2 linked regions of the Coturnix japonica genome follow. The protein of the gene in region 1 purifies or fractionates together with the protein of each later gene. This does not show direct contact. Links are inferred from orthologs where the notes say so. Each region holds a gene or a part of one and is shown in the gene's direction. Other genes may lie near its edges.

Region 1 (4,112 bases):
TGCCTTGTGCTGCACTGCTCCACCTGATGCTGACTTGTTGGTTCGGGTCATTTCCAAGTGTTCCTTGCCTTTATTAGTGGGATCGAAGGCCGTGGAAGGGGTGTGATTTCATGTATTCTGATGGATGTAGTATGGATTTGGGCTCTTGCTTTTGGTTTGGGGCTTTCTTTTTCCATCTGCATTTGAACAGGCTGTATTGTTGAGTAACCCGTTCCCAAACTGAGGAATTTCCACAGTATCTGATTGCTTTGGTCCAGAAGCTTAAAGGCATCTTCCTGCTCTGTGCCCATAGAGGTACGTGGGTCTCCAGTCTTTGGATCTCCCTGCTAAAAGAGAAAGTCCTGACAGTTGATTGAGAGCAGCAAGAGGCTGATTGTAAGGTAGAGAGAGCACGAACTTGTTGCTGAGTTTGGATCAGGTTGCCTGCCTTTATTACTTCTGCATTCAGTAACATCTCAGAAATGCTCTGCCAGAGCATGGAGCAGCTGAAGGCACTGAAGGTACCTGGATTACAGGGGGTAATTAGCAAAGTGCAGCAGGACCGCCTGAATTCTCTTCCTGCAGCCAATGGATTAATGACCCAGGGTCTTTTTGCAGAGTTCATGCATGAAACTGGTCATCTTCACAGGCCAGAGGACAGACACGAGTACAACCTGGAGAGGCAGCTGTGCTTTCTCGAGCTGTGTGTTCATTAGGAGGGCAGAGCACTGCGTGGAGCTGGCTCCAGCTGTCCTGGGTGGGGAGAAGCGGGGTGGGAGCTGCCAAAGCTGGAGCCTGAAACAATGGCCTGAGCACAAAATAAAGCAAAGCTGAAATAACAGAGGGACCAGCCCAGTTCGTGGCCATGGGAGAATGCTGGTGAGCTAATTCAGAAAGCGTGCAGGGAGAGGTGTTCTCTAATCTGCTGTGCATGGATCGGGAGGGCCTAGAAATCTCTGAGCACTGATGTTTTCCTGTTAGCATGGCAACACCTTGTGCGGAGGCAGAGTTTCAGTCTTCTACTTCTCATCTAATCCACTGGAACTCGTTCTGTTGGGTGAAGTCCTGCTTTGTTTTCTGGCTTGTTTGTAGTATCAGATGTCTTCCTGTGGGGAGCACGGTGATGGCTGGAATAACTGCAGTAAATCCCACAGAAGGCTGGGCATGCAAGGGGCAGCTCGTCGCCCTTGTTACTGTGGGCCCTGCCTGAAGCAGCGCAGCAGCCAGGCAGCACAGTGCTGCTGTGGGGAGTTCATCTGGTAAATGATGTCCTGTCTTTCAGTGGTGCTGATTGGGGACTCCGGAGTGGGGAAGAGCAACCTGCTGTCCCGCTTCACCCGCAATGAGTTCAACCTGGAGAGCAAGAGCACCATCGGGGTGGAGTTTGCTACCAGGAGCATCCAAGTGGATGGGAAGACGATAAAGGCACAGATCTGGGATACTGCAGGGCAGGAGAGATACCGTGCCATTACTTCAGCGTGAGTACCGTGTCTTTCTTTGGGACTATGGCAGATACATCTCCGGGTAAGGACTGAATGAAATGCATTTGGATGGGACAGAATCCTTGTGGCAGGTCTTGCTGTAGATCCAGGTAATCAGGTAACAATATCATGCTATTTGATTAGTATTTGGAATTTGGAACTCATTTCTGGGGGATGGTTATTACACAAAGCATACAGAACTGCAGTACTTGCATCAGCGCAGCTTTCTGAATGGGTTTGTTGGACCTTTCTAAAGGAATGTGCCTTTGTGTTCTCCCAGGTATTACCGTGGTGCTGTGGGGGCCCTTCTTGTCTATGACATTGCCAAACATCTCACCTATGAGAACGTGGAGCGCTGGCTGAAGGAGCTGAGGGATCACGCAGACAACAACATCGTCATCATGCTGGTGGGCAATAAGAGCGACCTGCGCCACCTGAGGGCTGTGCCCACTGATGAGGCCCGTGCTTTTGCAGGTCGGTATGTGGGGCCTTCAGGTGCTTCTCAAGTTCAGTGTGCTGGTCACTCTACTGTCCAGTATTTAACTTTTGCCTTGTGCTTATTATTATGTGGGAAAAAAAAGGGGAATTGGAGGTTTCGTAGCTGGCTTGTTAAATAGTGGATGGTGTTTTTTCTTGTTGAATCTGTTGGTAGCACATGTTTGTAAAACAGCATCCTTGAGCTGCCCGATACCTGAAGCATAAACAGTTCCTCTGGGAAGGCTGAAAAACAGCAGGAAATGTTCAGAGGAGAAAATACCTCATATAGTGTCAAATATCACAATGCAGAGTGTCTGTCCTTCATTCCTAGAGGCCTGGTTCTATGGAGAGCATAGAGTTCCTAACTGAACCACTTGTTATTTATTACAGAAAAAAATAACCTGTCCTTTATTGAAACTTCTGCTCTGGATTCCACAAATGTAGAAGAAGCCTTCAAGAACATCCTTACAGGTATGGTTTGTTATGGGTTCTGTGGACCTACCACATAGTGAATCTTCTTCATGGGCACAGTTTGCAGTTATTGAGACTGTTTTGGAAATGAGTGTTGGGAATGATTATATGTCTGCAGTCTGCCTCCCCTTACCTCTGTTTTACCCCCACCCCATGCACCTTTTTCCCCACCCACACGCATGGGGAACTTTCTCTTTCCTTGAGAGTGATGTGGGCCCATTACCTGAGTTTTATGGTTCAATAGCTGAATTCTGGGAGGATAAACTATTTCTGTATTCTCACCCTCATGCACTGTTCTGTGGAGCTGTGCCTGATGTACACGTCCCACCACGTCTCCAGAAGGGCATTTCCTGAGCATTTTTTGTTTTTTGGTGACAAGATGCTGATTTAACTTAAATGAGAATGAGCCTTTGTTCTGGTACTGCTCGGTTGTCAGGAAGTGTCTGATGTATGCTGCTTGTTGGACGCTGACCAGAGAACTGGTTATTATTGCTGTGCCTTGATTATATGTGAATGAGAGCCTATTACTGGGGAAATGGCTGAGTTTTGACCTGGTGAATTCTTGAAGGCTCTTTCAGGTTTGTTTTGCAGAGTGTGGAGGTAAACAGGCAGGAGCTGTGGTGTCGGTCTGAGCAGCTCTGTGAGCACAGAGGTGTGTTACAGTTAAAGATGACCAAGAGGAGGTGGGCAGGAGGAAAAAAAAGGGTAGTCAAGCTGCTTCTATGAGTAAAAAAGCCTGATGGATGAAGAGTGGGTTACGTTCTGCTCCCCAGCAAGATTTGGGTTGAGCTGCTGGAGAAGTAACTGGAGAATACTGCTGCTGAGACAGAGCTGTAGAGAAGAGCAGCTGCAGCCTGAGCTCTTGTGCAGGGTGGCCTTGAGAGCAGGTGCTGCTTATCTGTGACACTTGGCTGGATCTGAGGTGACTCGTGTGCTGCTCTGAGATGGTATCGGTGGATTTAGTGCCCTGAGCGTGGCTCAGCCATCACCATCCATCCTGTCTTCCCTCGTTGTGTTGTTCTGAGCCTGACTCTGGGTACAGAAAATGGCCAGAGGTTTTTCTAGGAGAGTTCAGTGCTGCCTGTGTAACAGATGGAGCCAGAACTGGAGCTCCATCAAAACAAAAAAACCAAAGAGCCCAAACCCTACAATTCCCCACCATTTAAAACCCTTGTTAAAGGCTTTGGCTGTTCCTGTCCTGCGGCTGTGACTGCTTGAATGTGACCATAATATTTACTGCAGGCTTCCAGGGAGGTGCTTGCCCTTTTCCTGTCTCACAATGGAGGGAAGTTGGAATGAGGTCCTACAGTCAGCGCAATAGAAATATTTCCACTTATTTCTACTGGCGCTGCAGGTGGAATGGTTTCCTTCTGAAAGCTTCTAACCTGGACGCTGCCTTTAACAGCTGGGGTGAATCTGTGCTTTCAGGCATGAGTTATTTGGAGTCAATGAAATGAATTCTGTCGGGGATGGCATTTGCAGATCAATGTGGGGCTGCGTGGAACCTCATTTTTACTGCCACGGATGGGGAAACTGATTTGTAACGGAGAGGAGCGGGTGGTCCTGTACTTCAGTAGGGACGGCTCACCGGGAGCTGAAGGGTGAAACCTTTAGGTCTTCCAGGCAGAGCTGGAAAGCCACCCAGACGTTACACTGCACAGCTGGTTCCCTTTCACAGCTTGAATCTTCCCTCTCCTGGCAGCT
Region 2 (3,651 bases), on another chromosome or scaffold:
GACAAGGAAGGGGAAACCGTGTTGGTTTGTGTTGGTTTTTATGGATGCCAGCCCTTGGGTTTGGAGCCCGGCATGGAAGGCAGCAGTGTTGCAATGGGGGGCAAAGTGAAACAAGAAATGCAAAGTGATGGCGATGAACCTGGAGCTAAACTACTGCTTTTTCTCCTCCTCCCCCCCCCTCCTTCCTCTCTCTGACCGCGCTGCCACCACCCAAAAATGGCCACCAAAACCCCTTCCATCCATTTCCCAGGAGCTCTCCTCGAGCACGGAAAGCCTTGATAACTCATTCTGTTCCGTAAGTGGTTTTGTTCTGCTCCTGGGCCCTCCGTCCTACAGCAGCATTTCCTCTGCCTCCCCCACCTCCAAACCCCACTGCGGCCGCACAGCACCGACCCCCACGTAACTGCTGACCCCGACATCACACCAAAGGCTTTCTGCCCCATTTGGGGATCAAACAAACCCACAGCTGGGGGTTGGACCTGGCTGCTCATCACCAAACCAAAGTGGGCACGATGGAGGGGGCTTCCCCTCCCACTGAGCTGTGAGTCCTGCCCTGCCACGCGCTGCCCTTTGTGTCACAGTGTTTGCAGACAAAAGAGGAAATGCTGTTTTCCTTGAATTTGTCCTTATTTGAAACAAAAATCCTCTGCTAGCTGGGGTTTCATTTGCTTCTTCCACGGATCATTTCCCCCCCTCCTTGCGTTGCACTTTGGGCTGTCAATCCAACCCAGCACCCCCCAGCAGAGCCTCCTTTTGCTGTGAGCCTTCTTTCAGTTTGGAGCCAATCGCATCTTTCTCATTTGTTCCATCCTCCTCTTCCTCCTCTCCGTGTTCCCTGGTTGGGATTTACAGTGGGATCCCAATATGTAGTCCATGCTCAAACCCATTGCCCTGGGCAGCAGCAAGTGATGCCTCATACATCCACAGCCCTCAGGGTAGGAACTGGAGGGGGAGGATGGGACTGGGGTATCCCCAGCACCTCACATGGGCACCCATCCCCTCCTCATATTCCTCTGGAGCTCAAGAATCCTTTGCTGAGAGCAGGAAACAAACCTGCAGCAGTGCACCCATGGCACAGTGCTGTGCCACCCCCACCAACCCTGCTCAGATGTGGGCTCTCCTCTTTGGGGTTTTGTTTTCAGGTTGGATATTAGGAAGTATTTCTTGGTACATTGGAAGGGGAAGGCGGTGGGGTCACTAATGCAGAATGGCAGAGATGTAGCACTTGGGGACATGGTGAGGGGGGCTGGGGAGATGAGTTGGGATCTGGAATGATCTTTTCCAACTTCAGTGGTGCTGCAATTGGGCAGAGCGGGATGGATGGGGTGGCACTGGGTGATCTCAGAGGTCTTTTCCAACCCTAAAGACTGCGTGGTCCTTTTTAGGGACGTGGATAGTGGGCATGGGGAGGATGGGTTGGGGTTGGATGTGGTGACCTGAGGGATCTTTTCCAACCTCAGTGACCCTATAAGTGGGCACAGTGGTGGGGGTAGGCTGATGGTTGGCCATGATGATCTTAGTGGTCTTTTCCAACCTCAGTGATCCTATGGGATCTCCTCCATCTCGGTGTTTGGAGGCACAGCAGGAGGTGAGGAGTCCACGCTAGAGGCTGGGAGGGAAGTGGGGGGTTGGCTGATGCTGCTGTATCTGCCCTCCCTTTGCTTTTCAGGGCTCAGGATGGTGCCAGCCCTGCAGCCCCAGGCAGCCATAGCCAATAGCAGGAGCACCCTCAGCCAGGAGAGCTTTCCTTCCAGGCTGTGCAAGCCCTGCTCCTTTATCTGAAGCAGAAGTGCAGCCACCTGGGCTCTTTGCAAGCATTTATCCCAAATTTACCAATGGGGAAGGATGGGGGACCCACACCTTGTTGGCTCAAAGGGGGGGTGGGCTCACAGAATACAACATCTCGGGTTGGCACCTGGATTTGGAGGACTGAGGGAAGAACCTCATCTCAATCCCAATAATGCCAAGCAGTGCTGAGCTGGGGGATGTGCTTGGAGCAGATGGGCTGGGGAGGGCTGTCCTTGGCCACGTGTTTGTGGTCAGAGGAGCTGAGAGCTGAATGTTTCCATCCAGAACATGAATGGCAGAGGATGGGTTGAGGAGCAGTGCAGTGCTGCTGGCATCAGGGGAAGGAGCTGTGGGGTCTGGGGGGAGCAGGGCTGAAAGTGATGGGGAAGATGGGCCTCTGCTGGAGCTGCATGGATTGATCCCAGCCTGGACTGGGTTGGACTTTGCACAATGGCAGCTGGGAGTGCTGCCTGGTCCCAAGTAGCCTCCACAGTGACCCACGGGGTGGGCACACATCCAGTCCCACAGCTGTGCAGCCTGGATTGTAGACATTCCATAGCAGAGCGGTGGGAGAGAAAGGGAAGCGGTGCTGGAAGGAGCAGAACATCTCCAGGACATCATTCTGCTCTGGGAAGAAATGGGATCCAACAGAGCAGAATGGCCCCAAAGGCTGCAGAAGTGCCTTGGGCAGCAGTGGGGCTGAGCCCTGGCTGGGGGGGGTTTAGATGAGGACTACACTGCATTCCCATTGCCCCCTCCCAAAGGGAATGAGCAGTGCTGCTCCTCTTCCACCATTTCTTTCCTTTGCTCTTGGCCAGTTTTTGTTTTGCTGCCTTCTCTCATGCACCGCTGCTTGTTGCATGTGCATTTCCTGCATGGTTGTGCAGTGAGCACGTTGTGTGTGAGTTCAGTCCTGCATTTCTCGTGGCGAAAAATCAGCCATTAATCACTCCTTGTGCTGATTGATTGGGAACTTTGTCTTTCGAAGGCTGCCCTTCACCTGCGGGTTATGAGGGCCACAAAGCTGCACTTCGATCTGTGCCTGATGATTGGGATACAGAGGGGGCTCAGAGCTGTGCTGTGTGGGATCCCGGAGCTGTGGGGTGGATGTGGGGATTGATGGGGCTCCAGGAGGGGATCTCTGGGTCTGTGATGGGAGGGAGAGGCGTTGGATCATCCCATATCGGAGCGCAGGGTGGGATGGGGAGAGCAGTGTTCCCTCTGGAGCTAAATGAGCAGCATGCCCAACCCGCAGCCCTCCTCACTCTGTGCCCTCCTTTCCCCTGCAGCCCGTCAGGCTGGCACCCGAGCGGGAGTTCATCAAATCCCTGATGGCCATCGGGAAGCGCCTGGCCACGCTGCCCACCAAAGAGCAGAAAACACAGCGGCTCATCTCGGAGCTGTCGCTGCTCAACCACAAACTGCCTGCGCGCGCATGGCTGCCCACGGCCGGCTTCGACCACCACGTGGTCAGGGTGCCTCACACGCAGGCGGTGGTGCTCAACTCCAAGGACAAGGTGAGCTTTGGGGTGTAGAAGGTTTGGTCCTCTCTGAGCATCCCCCTCTGCTCAGCATTCACCCCATGAGGCCAGAGAGCAGCTCTGCGCTCAAACAGCCCCATAACATCACTTTGCTTCCTCCAGGCTCCCTATTTAATCTACGTGGAAGTGCTTGAATGTGACAATTTCGACACAGCGAATGTCCCAGCGAGGATCCCTGAGAACCGAATCCGGAGCACGCGGTCGGCTGAGAACCTCCCCGAGTGTGGGATCACAGCTGAGCAGAGGACAGGCAGCTTCACCACCGTCCCCAACTACGACAACGACGACGAGGCCTGGTCTGTGGATGACATCGTGGAGCTGC

The links. The genes of interacting proteins can lie anywhere in the genome.
Region 2: the proteins of RAB11B (region 1) and PI4KB purify together in Homo sapiens (co-immunoprecipitation; 3 studies listed by BioGRID and IntAct, with this or other methods). This does not show direct contact. The link is inferred for Coturnix japonica from reciprocal best matches to the Homo sapiens genes RAB11B and PI4KB.

What each region holds. Positions count from the first base shown.
Region 1 is NC_029543.1:321,943-326,054, reverse strand, and holds the start of RAB11B (ras-related protein Rab-11B), read left to right. Parts: upstream 1-1,227; 5' UTR 1,228-1,242; coding exon 1,243-1,457; intron 1,458-1,740; coding exon 1,741-1,934; intron 1,935-2,327; coding exon 2,328-2,408; intron 2,409-4,112. UniProt on the Homo sapiens protein: The small GTPases Rab are key regulators of intracellular membrane trafficking, from the formation of transport vesicles to their fusion with membranes.
Region 2 is NC_029540.1:2,287,127-2,290,777, reverse strand, and holds part of PI4KB (phosphatidylinositol 4-kinase beta), read left to right. Parts: intron 1-250; coding exon 251-295; intron 296-3,077; coding exon 3,078-3,305; intron 3,306-3,431; coding exon 3,432-3,651. UniProt on the Homo sapiens protein: Phosphorylates phosphatidylinositol (PI) in the first committed step in the production of the second messenger inositol-1,4,5,-trisphosphate (PIP). May regulate Golgi disintegration/reorganization during mitosis, possibly via its phosphorylation.